4 linked regions of the Rattus norvegicus genome follow. The protein of the gene in region 1 purifies or fractionates together with the protein of each later gene. This does not show direct contact. Links are inferred from orthologs where the notes say so. Each region holds a gene or a part of one and is shown in the gene's direction. Other genes may lie near its edges.

Evidence for each region.
Region 2: the proteins of Shcbp1 (region 1) and Racgap1 purify together in Homo sapiens (affinity purification with mass spectrometry; 8 studies listed by BioGRID and IntAct, counting the BioPlex papers as one, with this or other methods). This does not show direct contact. The link is inferred for Rattus norvegicus from reciprocal best matches to the Homo sapiens genes SHCBP1 and RACGAP1.
Region 3: the proteins of Shcbp1 (region 1) and Kif23 purify together in Homo sapiens (affinity purification with western blotting; 9 studies listed by BioGRID and IntAct, with this or other methods). This does not show direct contact. The link is inferred for Rattus norvegicus from reciprocal best matches to the Homo sapiens genes SHCBP1 and KIF23.
Region 4: the proteins of Shcbp1 (region 1) and Plk1 purify together in Homo sapiens (affinity purification with western blotting; 3 studies listed by BioGRID, with this or other methods). This does not show direct contact. The link is inferred for Rattus norvegicus from reciprocal best matches to the Homo sapiens genes SHCBP1 and PLK1.

Annotation. Positions count from the first base shown.
Region 1 is NC_086034.1:91,394,346-91,397,912, forward strand, and holds part of Shcbp1 (SHC SH2 domain-binding protein 1), read left to right. Parts: intron 1-1,009; coding exon 1,010-1,141; intron 1,142-3,567. UniProt on the Homo sapiens protein: May play a role in signaling pathways governing cellular proliferation, cell growth and differentiation. May be a component of a novel signaling pathway downstream of Shc. Acts as a positive regulator of FGF signaling in neural progenitor cells.
Region 2 is NC_086025.1:132,656,933-132,661,081, reverse strand, and holds the start of Racgap1 (rac GTPase-activating protein 1), read left to right. Parts: upstream 1-1,343; 5' UTR 1,344-1,520; intron 1,521-4,149.
Region 3 is NC_086026.1:71,310,549-71,314,115, reverse strand, and holds part of Kif23 (kinesin-like protein KIF23), read left to right. Parts: intron 1-178; coding exon 179-284; intron 285-487; coding exon 488-624; intron 625-911; coding exon 912-1,021; intron 1,022-2,230; coding exon 2,231-2,401; intron 2,402-3,567.
Region 4 is NC_086019.1:186,150,641-186,154,207, forward strand, and holds part of Plk1 (serine/threonine-protein kinase PLK1), read left to right. Parts: intron 1-1,143; coding exon 1,144-1,363; intron 1,364-2,474; exon of another isoform or gene 2,475-3,567. UniProt on the Homo sapiens protein: Serine/threonine-protein kinase that performs several important functions throughout M phase of the cell cycle, including the regulation of centrosome maturation and spindle assembly, the removal of cohesins from chromosome arms, the inactivation of anaphase-promoting complex/cyclosome (APC/C) inhibitors, and the regulation of mitotic exit and cytokinesis.

The DNA of each region.
Region 1 (3,567 bases):
GAAGGCAGTTAGACAGTGCATTCATTTTTGTTGACAAAGGTAGTGTGCTTTTCCCTTGGGACCAGGAGACCAGGTTTAGAGTACCATACCTGGTAATCTATCCTGAGGCACAGACTGCATGTCCACTTACAAAGCAGTTAGTTATTCCCAAAATAGCCAAGCTACCATTGTATCAGTGAGCATATCGTGTCTGGCCGGTGTGTTTTATCGCGCGTGATCAACAGGTAGGTGAGACTGTTGACAAGGTTCTTCTAGTGCCCTGGATAGCACCTTCTGGGACTGTGAACCTTAGCAAGCATAGAGGGCATTTTCTACACAGTTCCATATCTCTGTGTCCTACAACTAAGATATGTTACTCTCACGTTGTAGTGGCTGACTAAGAGCAATGACAACAGCCTGTGTTCTTTTGTTGACTTCTGAAACCTTCTGCCCACAAGTCACAGGACAGTATCCCATATCTGGTATTGGACTCTTATTTAAAAGCTTCTTTTTTCTTATTTAAATTCATAAAATAATAATAATTATTATTATTTATAAAGCACTAGGTTTCCGTATAGCTTTTTTATGTTTTCTCAGTTTTCTTTCCCTTTCCCTATCTTCCCAGTACCCCTATTTCCCTGCCCAAACCCTTTCACGCCTCATCCCCTACTTTCCAGTCCCTGTGTTTGACTCCCTCCTCCTTCAGTGCTTCTTCTGCTCGTGGAATCTTTCTTGCCTCTGTAAAGAATTTGAATTTTAAAAAAATTAAATTTTGAGGCTATTTATTCAAGAAAGAAATTTGGGGTTCCCTTTGTGGCCCTCGGATATTCCACTCAGTGTAATAATTTCTAGTTCTATCCATTTTCCTGCAAATTTACTCTCTTCCTTTCTTAGGTTGTATGGAATTACATTGTGAATACGTGCTTCATTTTCACTGTTCACTCATCAGTTGTTATTTTGGATCTTCTTAATCTTTTGCATGTAGATGTTTTCCTTCATTCTTCCTAAGTCGTTTCACGCTCTTCCATAGGATACGGTCCCCCAGATGATATCATCATTGAAAAGAGGGGCAAAGGAGATACTTTTGTGGATTGCACGGGTATGGATGTTAAAATTTCAGGCGTAAAATTTATTCAGCATGATTCTGTAGAAGGAATCTTAAGTAAGTATCCAATGTTTGGTGTATTTTTTGTTTTGAGCTTTGAGAGAAAAGTTGACTGGGCATGGAAGTTAAAATTTAATGAAATTGAATATATGGAAGGCAAATTAATAACTTGCATAGCATGAATGACAAGGAAACATCAAAGTAAAAAATAACTTGTTATTCTTGGAAACTTATTAATTTCTTTTCTGTTAGTGGGGATTTTATTTTATTTTTGCTGTTGTTGTTGCTTGTTGTTTGCTTTTGTTCTTGTTTTTGAGATAAAGTCTCACTCTGAACTGGTTGTCCTGGAATTCACAGCAAATGGTGATCCTACCTCAGGCTCCTGAGCTCTGGATTTATAGGCATATTTCCCCATATGTTACACAAGTGTAACAGTGGTAAAGTGGTAAAATCATTTAGAGGTTGGACCTGGTAGTAGGTAATTAGATTACAGGAGCTCTATTCTCAGGAGTGGATTAATATAAGTCTCATAGGAGCAGATGAGTTTCCAGGGAGTACGTTCTTATAAGAATGAGCACGATACCTCTGTAATCTTGCTTTCTTGCTATACGTGTGCCCCTTCTGCACGCAATTCCTTTTTCTTATGCCTCTGCACATGGTAACGTATCTGGGGAGATCTTATCAGATACCATGCTGTTCTGAGTTTACAGATACTAGAATCATGTATAAGGTATTTTGTTACAGACATACATAAAGGGACCAAGACATTGCTCTAGTATTAGTTTTATAGGATGTGTAATCCACCTCTTCTCAAGGTCCTTTTTCTTTTTCCAAGAAAAGCTGTTCATTAATATGTGTGTATCAATAATAATATACAAATATTATATACCTTTTTCTGTAATGAATATATACTTTCACATATCTTAGTTTAAGTCTTCTCTCTTTTTTGTATTTGTGAATGTGGTTCCCTACTTATCATCCTCAGGGTGAGAGGGGTTAGGAAACAAACTTGGGTCAGTCACCATTTTCTATATTGTCAGAGGCAGGATCTCTTTGTTGTTAACTGCAGTTGATATCAGGTGCTTCTCCTGTGTCCAGCTCGCATCTCACTACAGAGTCACTGGAATTGCATGTGTGAACTACTATGCCTGACTTTACAGGGTTCTGGGCATTTAAACTCATCTCCTCATGTTTTGGCAAATGCTTTACCCACTGTCAGTCACTCATTACTAAGTAGCCTTTGGTTTTTAGAAAATATTTAAAAGTGTATACTACTGTATATTGTATGAGTTTGTAACTTGTTTAACAAAATTTAAATGATACCTCTAAAAAATATCCTATTGTCTAATTATGATCTATACTATTACAGTTTGTATAAACTTTCTACTTTTCCATTTAATTTTGAAAATATCAGCCATTTTAACTTTAATAAACTTTCTAGTTCTCCCTTCTGTGAAAATCCAGTCATTTTATCCTTTATAAACTTTACTTAGTAAAAATCATCCATCTTTTATTTACTGATTTTCTTTCTTAATAACATGAGGACCATATGTGCTTGATTATTGAGAGTGAGTACTTAGAAAGCAAATCTTTATCATCAATATGCAAAGGACAGTAAAAAGTAATCTAAATCAGTAAAAATGGCATGCAGATTTTGGGTTTACTCATCTCAGCAGGAAGCCTGTCAGCACTAGGAAAAGGTGTGGCCTAATTGTTATATTTTGAATTCCCAAGAGATCATAGAATTTAAGCTTTAAGTTTTTATTACTTCACATAGCATGGCATGTTTCTGCCCACATGTTGCTTTCAAAATTTATGGTGGATTTTGTTTTTAAGGTTGCTGTCAGCCTACTGGCTGCTTTCACCAAATTACTACCACATCACACACATAAACATTATGTGGTCAGAGACATGAAATAGTATATAATTTAAGTTTAAAGCCATGCATCCACTTATGCTATAAAGGCTGATTATATAAGTTTCAAGCAAGTTGATTATACTGTTCTCTTAAAGGCTGGTGTGGTTTGAATGAGAATGGCCCCAAATTGGCCCATGTCTTTGAGTGCTTGCTTCCCAGTCGGTAGACTCTAGGGAAGGATTGGGAGGTGTGGTCTTGTTGGAGAGGGTGTGGTTTCAGAGGTGGCCCTTACAGATTTCAAACTTGCACACCAGGCTGAGTCTCACTCTTTGCCTGCTGGCTGATGATCAGGATGTAAAGTTCTCTGGTACTTTTCTAGCACTAAGTCTCTCTATCTGACACCATGCTCTTCACTGGGATGATAATGAACTGACCCTCTAAAACTGTTAGTCCCACACATACATTAAATGTTTTCCCTTGTAAGAGTTGTCCTGGTCATGACGTCTCTTCATAGCAGTAGACTAGTGACCCAACAGCTGAAGACACAACAGGATAGGTTAAGTGCCCAATCGTAAATGATCTCAACATATTTTAGCTGCAAACTGCATCAAAAGTTAAGTCTTTT
Region 2 (4,149 bases), on another chromosome or scaffold:
CTTAGTCAGATGGAGGTGAGGGAAGGGGCTGGAAGAGTGTCTGGGGCAGATGGGACTGCAAGAGTAAAGCTCTGGATGCTAGGTGTCACTTGGTGCACTTCAGGACCTGTAAACAAGATGGAGGGCAGTTAGGGAGCAGGGAAGCACAGGTTAGGGGAGCCATTAAGGACCCCATCTTTTTTTTAAGGAGGGGAGGTGAAGTGATTAATGGTTTTCAGCAAGGAAAAGCCACGGTTAGAGCTGCTTTTTTGTTTGTTTGTTTGTTTGTTTGGTCTGGAGCTAAAGTAGCAGAGGCTGGTCTTGATCTCTCAGCCTCCACTCCTTAAGTGCTGGCGATTATGGGTGTGTGCCACCACACCCACACAGAACTGCCTTTTAAAATACCAACTGTTGTAAAGAGCTCAAGGGCACAGCTCCCCTGGTGGTTTGAGAACTGAGGCAGACTAGGCTGGCCTTGAGTTTACAGACATCTGCCTGCCTCTGCTGTGCTGGGCTTAAAGGCATATGCCTGGCTCACCCTTTCTAGTAAGCTCTAGCCAGCCAGTATTTTGTCAAATTGCAGGTAGCCACACCTTCCAGTAATTAGTAAATTCAGGAAGGAAGGGACTCCAACACAGAGAAATAACAACAACAACAAAAGAACAGAAACATCGGGAGTACACTAATAGATTAAGATGAATGGTTGTATATTGAGTGCATTTCTGATGTTGGGCCCAGATCTTTAAAAGTTTCAAAGCCTCTGTACCAATACAATGCCAAATTTTAAGTGCCATTTATTAAATGGAATTATAACACTTCATTCTGCACTTCTATTTGTTTTCTTGAGCTGTCTCACCCATTCATAGCTACTGGAAAGCAGAGACCACATGATCTGTATTTTTTTCTGATCTCTAGCAGAGTGCTTGCTATGAAGTTGGCATACTTACTGTGCATCAAATAGAAGTCTGAATGGATGCGTGAGTGAATGGGGGGGATAATTATAGCTCAGTAAATATGGTTAAAATGATTGTTGCTCTGTCTCCTTCTGGAATTCTTCCTATTCTACAGTGAGACCCGAAACTATTCGGTTATTAGTTTCCAAGAGTCCTATTTGTCTGCCTGGGGAAACATGGAGGCAAGAATAATATGCAATTAGTCAACAGGTCATTAGAATAATTGCAAGAAAGGGAGCCGTAGCCGGAGCCTGGAGCGGGAGTCCTACACAGGCCATGAAACACCCACTACTCCCGCAAAAGTGTGCCCACAGTCAAAATGGCCGTCTTTCGGCGTCTCGCTAATGTAATGCGCACGCTCTTCCCGTTTTGCGCCCGCCCCCTGGCCCTAACACGTGCGTCGCCCAGAGCATGATCTCCTCTGTGATTGGCTGCTGCGCGATTTTGAACCGGATCCGGCGGCGCGGTTTTACACTGCCGTTAGTGAGGCGCGCAGCTGGTGGACAGCAGCCCTCCTGGGGCGCGGCGGCCGGAGAGTAAGCGCCGCGGGCCGAACAGGGTTGCGTGTGCGCGGGGCCGGGAGCCTCGGTAAGCGGGTCGAGGCCGCGAGCGGGCGGCGGAGGGAGGAGGGGGGCATCTGGAGGGGTCTGCTCTCGGCGTGGGGCTGCGCGTTAAGTCGGGAGCGTCCTTTTGAGGCGTGGCCCGACGGGTGCGGGTGTGGTTCCCTCAAGGTGGTCTTGGCGAACTCTAGTGCGGGACGTGGGAGTGGCCGGGAGCGAGCCCCTCTCACCCTTTTCCGAGGAGCAGTCTCTTCTGCGGGAGAAGTCAGGTGTTTGAGGAACCTGGCGGCCTACAGTGGAGAGCCTCTACCTTCTTGGCTGTCTCCCACAAGGCTAATTAGAACATCCCTATATGTGGAGAGCTAGAATGCTGCAAATGCGGAGCCTATCTTTTTCAGCCCTCCTTTTAATAATAATTTATCACCTATTTCTGCCACTGACCTAGCTACCGTTCTGCGATTAGCATGGGAAACCCTTTGGGGGTGTATTACTTTATATTAACAGCCTCCACCCACAGAAAAGCTACGACTGTAATCTGGCAAGCCTCGGAAACCTTCTTGAAGCGCCCACCAAAGTTTTTTTAAGCGTTCCTTGATTTATGACTGTTCTTAACTATAAAACTTAATGAGAATGATTATATCAGAACATGGTATTTATTTAGGTAACCTGGATTCATGGTCACGAGCCAGGGTCACTTATATTTGGCTCAGGAAGGAACACTCATTTCTCTTGGGATGAGAACTTTGTTTTTGTGCCTCAGAAAGAGAGGGAGGGAGAGAGAGGGAGAGACGGACTGCAGTACTCCCAATAGTGTATTGGAGGGTTATTGGAGTTACTGTTCTATCACACTCTGTGTGTGTGTGTGTGTGTGTGTGTGTGTGTGTGAGAGAGAGAGAGAGAGAGAGAGACAGACAGACAGACACACACACACACACACACACACACACACACACACACGGTGTCTTATGTAGCCCAGGTTGGTCTGAGACACACACACACACACACACACACACACACACACACACACACACACACACACGGTGTCTTATGTAGCCCAGGTTGGCCTCTTGTATCCAAGGATAACCCCGAACCTCTGATCCGCCTGTCCCTGGAGTGTTGGGATTACAGGACAATTTGGAGATGACACGTGTGATCCACCATTCTCAGTATTTGCTGTGTTGAGGACAGAAACCAGGGGCTTGTCACTCTAGGCAGGCATGGTGTCAGCTAAGGTATAGGCCAGCACAATGGTACATTTAAGTTCAAGTAAGATTCTTCTACTAACCCTTAAGAAACTGTTGACTGCACATCAGGCTGCTGGGGTGCAGTAAAGATGGGGACTCTTGTGCTGTTAGACCTCAGTGCTGTCTGCTGACCAGCTTAGCTTCTGGGTTGATGAAAGGTAGTTATTTTTTGGTTTGTCTTTTTTTTTTTCCCCCCTGGAACTCAGAGATCTGCCTGTCTCTATGTCTCCCAAGCTTTGGGATTAAAGATGTCTGCCACCATTCCCCTTGGTAAAAGGTAATTAATTCAGGCCAAAATTTCATCTGATAGCAGCAAGGAGGTGGCTGGTGCATTAGTGGGGTAAAGAGATGACTGAGATAGTTTGGCTGCAGATCTAACTCTCCACAAATACACAATAAATCCCTCCCACCCACCCAGCTGAGGACCCAGTGCTAGGCAAGCTCTCTACCACTGAGCTAAATCCCCAACCTGCCTTATAGAATTCTTAACATTGGCTTTTTTCCCCTGGCTTTTTTCAGTTGACAAAAATTTCTACTCAATATAATAGCCTTGCTATATTATTTTGGCTGGCTTCTGTGTGAGGGTGTCAGATCCCCTGGGGATGGAGCTACAGACAGTTGTGAGCTGCCATGCCAGTGCTGGGAATTGAACTCAAGTCCTCTGAAACAGCAGCCAGTGCCCTTAACCACTGAGTCATCTCTTCGGCCCCCCTCCCCGCCAATATAAGGTTTTTATACCGTGCTACATTAATCAAAAACCTGTCGTTGCAAGGACTCACCTTTGAACCTGAGGAAGAAAACTGGCCATGAGGAGGCTCACTCAGTGAGTGTCAGGTCACCTACCAAGCATTGGTAGTGGGCAGTGTTCTAGATACCAGTGGCTCTGCTAAGTCCTTGCTTTCCAGACAGTAAGTAAACATGTTAGGTGGAGACAAGCACTCTGGAGCAGAATAAACCAGGAGTTACAGAAAAGGCTGAATTTAAAAGTGTGGCTGGTGGAGACTTCATTGAGAAGTAAATTCCCAGGGGTCAGGGAGAAGGGGACGGAATGGGATGGGTGACTGCCCATGCTAGAGACTTCTGGCAGAGGGTAACTGAAAAACTGAATCCAAAGAGAACGAGTAGACCAATGGTAGCCCATCGACTCTGTGATGCTTGCTCAGTGCAAACAAGATGCTAACAATCAAAAACTGTGTGCCCCGAGCGAGAGTGTGGTGGGCACAGGGCTGGATGAGGGGGATGAGGTTTGTGTTTTGAGGCAGTGTTTTATGTCTGCCTAAGTTGAAGTCATTAGGAAAAGGCTTCAGTGACTGCTAAGGCAGACTCTGGGTAGGCCTCACAGGAGACAGCAGCAGTGTGCCGAACTTACCTGTCACATCCAGTTCTCCTTCACTCTGGCCTTGACTCTTATTG
Region 3 (3,567 bases), on another chromosome or scaffold:
AGCTGTGATTTATGTATATTGTGACTACGAAAGGCTCCAAGCTTAAAGACCATTCTTGGTGATTTTTTTTAACATGTCTGGGTTTGAAATGCTCATAACAGAAACATTCCAAGTGTAGAACAGATACAGCTCTAATCTAATGGAATTCCATGTGGTGATGTTTTTCTTTTCTCCACAGACTCAGTACTCATTTAAGCGGGTATTTGGCACGCACACCACCCAGAAGGAGCTTTTTGATGTTGTGGCTAGTCCCTTGGTAGATGACCTCATTCATGGCAAGAATGGTATGACTCTTGGAGTTTAATTGAATTCCCTGTTTGATCTTGTGATAAAACTTTTTAATATTCATATATTTGGTTTGACATTGAATTCAGATTTAACTCATCAGAGTGCCCTTTTTTGGGTTTGTTAATTTTAGCGTTTTAAATAAACGACATGTTATGTGGGGCTTTAAGACTATAACTCATTGTTACTTGCCATACTTTAGGTCTTTTATTTACATATGGTGTGACGGGAAGTGGAAAAACCTACACAATGACAGGGTCTCCAGGGTCCGGAGGCCTGCTTCCTCGTTGTTTGAATATGATCTTTAACAGCATAGGGTCATTTCAAGCAAAACGTTTCGTAAGTACAATTCCTTTGGGTTGTGACTGTTACTATAGACACAGGGCTGAGGCATCTATGGATGCAGTGATGCTGAGGAAAGACAAAGACATTAGAGCTACTTTGACTCTTACATACTTGATGTAGGCGTGGTGGCTGCATGCCTGTGGTATAAACAAGAGGATCAGGAGCTGCAGGGCCCCTGAGTCTTGTGCCCTTTCCCCAGGTTTAAATGTTTAAATGCTTCCTATTTTCAAATGGTTCTGTTCCTTAAAGTTATTTTCAAGTCTATTTTGCCTCTCTCTTAGGTGTTTAAGTCTAATGATAGGAACAGTATGGAAATACAGTGTGAAGTCGATGCCTTGTTAGAACGGCAGAAAAGAGAAGCCATGCCCATTCCAAAGACCCCCTCTAGCAAGTGAGTGACTTCATTGTGACCTAGGGTGGGTGGAATTCTGTCCTACAGTTTCTATAGGTCCGGAGAAGGTAAGTACGAATTAGAAAAGTTGGTCTTACAGCTGACTTTTGTGAGGTCAGGGTTGAGGCATGTTCTTGACTGCTCAGATATTTTATCTCATTTCAAGAGAATACGTCCAAGTAGGGGGAAGGTGAGTTCTTGTGTTGTGAATCTTAAGGGCTTAGAGTGTCCTTGACTCACCTTAAATTCAAATAAAGTTGCTTATGAATTCAGCCCTACGTGACAGAACATCATTAGAGTTTGCTTTTGCTCTGATATATGTGATATCATTGTATTGCTGTGATAAAATACCTTAAACAAAGCAGCTTGGGGAGGAAAGGATTTATTTTATCTTCCTGTTACATTTCCAAGTAACAGTCCATCACTGAGAGAAGTCAGGGCAGGAACTCAAGGCAGGAGCTGATGCAGATGCCATGGAGGGGTGCTGTTTTCTGGTTTACTCCCATGGCTTGCTTAGCTTACTTTCCGTTTTTTTTTTTTTTTTTAAGATTTATTCATTTATTATATATAAGTACATTGTAGCTGTCTTCAGATACACCAGAAGAGGCCATTAGATCCCATTTACAGATGGTTGTGAGCCACCATGTGGTTGCTGGGAATTGAACTCATGACCTCTGGAAGAGCAGTCGGGTGCTCTTAACCGCTGAGCCATCTCTCCAGCCCCTTAGCTTACTTTCTTTCTTTCTTTCTTTCTTTTTTTTTTTTTTAATTTTATTTATTTATATATAAGTACACTGTCTCTGTCTTCTGACACACACCAGAAGAGGGTATCAGATCTCATTACAGATGGTTGTGAGCCACCATGTAGTTGCTGGGAATTGAACTCAGGACCTCTGGAACAGCAGTCAGCGCTCTTAACCATTGAGCCATCTCTCCAGCCCCTTAGCTTACTTTCTTATACAACCCAGGAGCACCAGCCCAGGGTTGGTACCACACACATCAGTCATTAATCAAGAAAAGGCTAGATAGACTTGCCTGGTGGCCAGTTTTATAGAGGTAAGTATTTTCTCCAGTTGAAAGCCCCCTTTCCCAAAGACTCCAGTTTGTGTCAAGTTGACAAAGAACTATCCCACACAGCCATTATCTACTTTTTATCTTAACTCATAGTGGGTACATTTTGAAGTTAGGGGATCTGTTTTCTCATTGTAGGCGACAAGCAGATCCAGAGTTTGCAGATATGATAAATGTACAAGAATTCTGCAAAGCAGAAGAAGTTGATGAAGACAGTGTCTATGGAGTGTTTGTCTCTTACATTGAAATCTATAATAATTACCTATATGATCTATTGGAAGAAGTGCAGTTTGATCCCATAAAGCCCAAGTAAGTACAAGAGTCTTCAGTTAACCTAGAAAGCTACCCCAAGCAAGTCATGGCTTCTTGTATAGATGGGGATGATGCTTGCATTTATTTTCAGGGTGCACAGAAATAATAATCATATAGTCATGTTCAATGAATACTTTTCTTCCTTTTTCTTGTTTTGAGACAGTTTCTCTGTGTATCTCTGGCTGTCCTGGAACTCTGCCTCAAGAAATATCTGGGTTAAGTTATAGAGAGAAATGAAGAGAGTACAGTCCTGCGATCTGCCTGCCTTGCCCTCTGAGTGATAGGATTAAAGGCGTGTGCATCACTGCCTGGCAGTACTTAGATTGTAGCTGTATTAGGAAACCAGTGGGTTAAGGCAGAGTAACTTGAAGATCTTGGAAATTGCTTTTGAAAATTTAGCCTTTATAGGTAATTTTGGGGCACCTATCAGCACCCTGACAGTGCTGGAAGTTTGCAGCCTTTTTGGCTATCTGTGTCTCGGTGATCTCTGTGGAATGGATACTTGTCTGAACAAGTAATTCTTTGCTCATCCATTGCGAATCAGTGTAAAGCCATACTTTACTATCATTCTGCCAGAGGTAAATACTCCTTAGGGGCTATGGGTCTTGCCTTGCAGAATCAGAAGACCAGTTACCATGTAGCTTTACATTAGTGTGCCTCTCTTTGTTCCAGAGCTGACACACAAGTCTTGTGTCAAATGACCAGTGCACGTGGGTGGTTTTATTCTTACTGCAGCCAGTTAGAACATAATAATATGAAGCCCTTTGTCTTACATATAGCATTTGTGTATATGTGTAAATGGACATTACTGTGGAAACCGCTGGATTTAGAAAACCCTTAAGCTGAAAACAGACTCATGTCCACGACTGTCAGGGTGCTCACTATTAGAAAAATCACATGGACTCTGGTCGAGGCTATAATTGATAAAAGAATTTCTGTGGCTCCTACTGAGTTGCATTTCAAAGGATATTCAGAATCCCTTAGTTACTAATGGTTAGTAAAATAAGGATAAAGTTGCTAGGTGAGTTAAATCTGAAGGTCTTTTACTTTTGCTTTACTCAATCATTCTTCAGATGAGAACTGTTTGTTTTTGAGGCAGTGTTGCTGGGTTGCACAGATTGGCCTCCAAGTACATGGGCTCCTCCTCCTTGAGCCTCTCAGAG
Region 4 (3,567 bases), on another chromosome or scaffold:
TTGCACACCAGAGTCTTCTGCTCTACCTTCCAAGAGCTGAGATTACAGGCATGTGCCTGCCACCAGGCTGGCTTTCTGGTGTACTAGCAAGCACTCTACCAGAGCCCCGTGCCCAGCCCATGTCTTTAGACTTCCTGAGGGGGATGTAAAGAGCAGGGGGAGAGGGGGCAAACACTCTTACACCTGGAACACGCACCATCTCCATCCAGCTGTGCTGCGCCTAACAAAGGAGTTGGTCTTACTCTCATGAACCAGGCTCTGCGTCTGCAAAGTGGGAGTTTCCCCAAGAGCTTCCCAATGACAGAGCAGCATCCCTTTTCACATCCAGTGTCATAAATCCACTTGCAGGGATAGCTCATTTCTGGGGACTGGTTCTCATAGGCACTTTAAAGTCAGCATCCTTGACTTGTACATAGAGAAGATGTCACAGAAGGTCAGCTCACTGCAGACAGCATGGACTGCTGTGGTATAATTGGTCCTGGCTTTCTTACTGAGGCAATGTGTATTCTCAGACAGGGCACTCCTGTTTCCTCATCTATAAGTGAGGCCTAATAGTGGAGATGTACACACCTGTAGTCCTAGCACTTGGAAGGCTGAGGCAGGAGGATTGCAAGTTCCAGATAGCCTTAGCTATATAGTGAGACCCTGTTTCCTTTCTAATTATATAGAGAGGGAAAGGGAGGAGAGAATCTTTTAGGTGTTTTTGTGAGGGCCAAATGGGTACTGTACAGGAGTGCATAAGCAAGAATTAATGCTGTGAGGGACAGGCCCGTGTTAGGTTTTTTCTCATTAAGTCATCCTGGAGGGGTTCCCCATTTTATAGGTCTGCCTTGTTAGGCTTCAGAAAGCCCAGGTTATTTGTTATAGGTGGAATCAAGGGGGTGGAACTAGGCAGGTCTTGGGACCTGGGTGCCCTCTTGTAGATAACTTAATGTCCTTTGAAAGGGCAAGGGGTGGGTATCCCAGGTTAATCTTGAGTGCCAAGTGGCAAGAAATGATCCTTCTTATCAATATTGCTAAGGCTGGGTGGAGGACTTGGTGGAACTCAGGGCCACTGAGCAGTGGTATGTTATACACAGGAGCAGCCGCATGCTGGCTAGGGTCCCTGTCTCCTCTCATTTCGGCTCTGCCTCTCCATTCCAGCACATCAACCCAGTGGCTGCCTCCCTCATCCAGAAAATGCTTCAGACAGACCCCACTGCCCGCCCCACCATTCACGAGTTGCTCAATGACGAGTTCTTCACTTCCGGCTACATCCCCGCCCGTCTGCCTATTACCTGCCTCACCATCCCACCAAGGTTTTCAATAGCTCCCAGCAGCCTAGACCCCAGCAACAGGAAGCCTCTCACAGTCCTTAATAAAGGTAAGATCAGTCCGGGCAGAAGAGAGCCCAGGTTTCCGGGGTACATTTCAGGGTGTGTGTGCCTTACTGCCTCATCCCTCCCCTGGGCCCTTCTGCCCTCCGCCCTTGGCAGGAAAAACCAACTGAATCAACCTATGTAAAGAGTACCTAAGATCTCCCTTGCACAGTTTGGAGAAAGCTGGAAGTTTTCTGGTGCATACATGGAGCATGCCGTGGTACCTATCCTCAGTTCTCATTCTCAGCATGCCCAACCCTGGTCACTCCAAGCACCCTTTGTTCTCTGAGTGTTTGTGCTTTGTCAAGAAAAGGTCTTTCTGTCACCCAGGCTGCTCTTGAAATCAGTCCTCCTGTCTAGGGCCCTGCTGACTACAGAATTGCAGGTTTGTATCAGCTCATCTCACTTTGGAAAAGTCGAGACAGCCAACTCCAGGAGTCTGCCATTTTACTCTTGTACTAAAGTATGCATCTTTCCTCAAAACTCCAGCATCCCTTGCCCCTGCTTGGATAGCTTTTGTGTCTAGAGCTCTTTAGAGATCAGAGTCTTTCTGATTCATATTCTAATATTCATCATTGTCCACACTTATAAAAAGGTAGAGGGACAAATGCTCTCCCAGTCTGCTTACATTCTGTTGATGCATCATCAGCCCTATGTGTTTCTTTAACTGCTTGAGAGCGAGCTTTCCTCGAGGAAAGCGTCTGCGCGCTGTGACAGACACCAGCATCAGCTTCAGGACTGAGCATTCATCTCACAGTGCTGTAAAGGTTCTTTTTTTCTTGTTCTTTTCTCTCTTTTTGTTTTGTTTCCTTTTTTTTTCCTTTTTGGAAACAAGGCTTCACTATATAACCCAGGCTGGCCTCCAACTCAGGAGATCCACCTGCCTCTGCCTTCCAAGTGCTAAGAGCAAAGGTGTGAGTGAGCCACCTTGCCTGGCAGCAGTGTTTGCTTTTCTGTTTTTTACTGTCCCTCCCTCCTCCTCTTTTTTTGAGACAGACTATCACCATGCTGACTCGGGTTTGAAATCCCCCTGCCTTACCCTCCACAGTGCTGGGCTTGGGACTGTGCCACTGTATTCATCATCATCATCATCATCATCATCATCATCATGTAGTCTTATTTTTTTGATTTATTTATTTATTTTATGTATGTGAGTACACTGTCAGACACACCAGAAGGGGGCATCAGATCCCATTACAGATGGTTGTGAGTCACCATGTGGGTGCTGGGAATTGAACTCAGGACCCCTGGAAGAGCAGTCAGGTTCTTAACTGCTGAGCCGTCTCTCCAGCCCATGTAGTCTTATTTCTCGTTAATATATTTTATTAAGAGCTATGGTCTTTGAGAGGTAGCTTGTAGGCTTTGTTCTCTGTGGAGTTAGTTATAAAACTAGTGTTTAGTATAAAATTCTCAGTGCATCTGTTTCGGTTAGATTTCCATTTTTAGGCAAGAGGCTAGGGTGGCTTAGTTTTGTTTTTGGTGCTTTGAGACAGGTGCTGGGATTTCAAATGAGTGCTTCATACCTGACTCAATTACTTGGTTTATTTTGCAGTAATGCTAGGGTTATACAAAAGTTTAAAAGACAAAATAAAGCTAAATTCCTGTGTACCCTCCACCCAGCTTCTTCCACAGTCAGCATCTCTCTTTAAGCATAGCAGAATTACCAAAACTGAAGTGTTAGCTACAAGATAATCCTGTCAACAAAGCCCAGGCCCCACATCGATCAACCAGATTTCCCATTACATCACCAGAATACAAGTCAGTACCTCACGGGCCAGTTAGTGACCTTGGCTCCCTAGTTTCCTCCAGCCTGTGACAGTCTCTGAGTTTTTCCTTTTGTCTTGTGACCTTGATTGACACTTTTGGCACTGATGAGTTGATTTCCATTGGATTTGATGCTTCCTCAGGATTGCACTGAGGTTCTGCATTCTGAGCAAGAATGCTGTGAAGGGTTTGCTCTTTTCAGTGTCAGGGAGACAAGGCTGTCTCTGCTGCAGACACTGTTGCCTTGGTAACTAATAAGAATCTTGCAGGAAGGTGTTTGAAACTGTAGGAGTTCATCTAATTGTTGCCCACCGGTTTTAGTGGTAGCCATTACTGTAATTTTTATTTTTTTCCCTTTTTGAGACAGCGTTTCATGTGGCCCAAGCTGCTTGGATCTCACAGTAGTCAAGGATGACTTTGAACTTGTGTTCCTTCTGCCTCTATA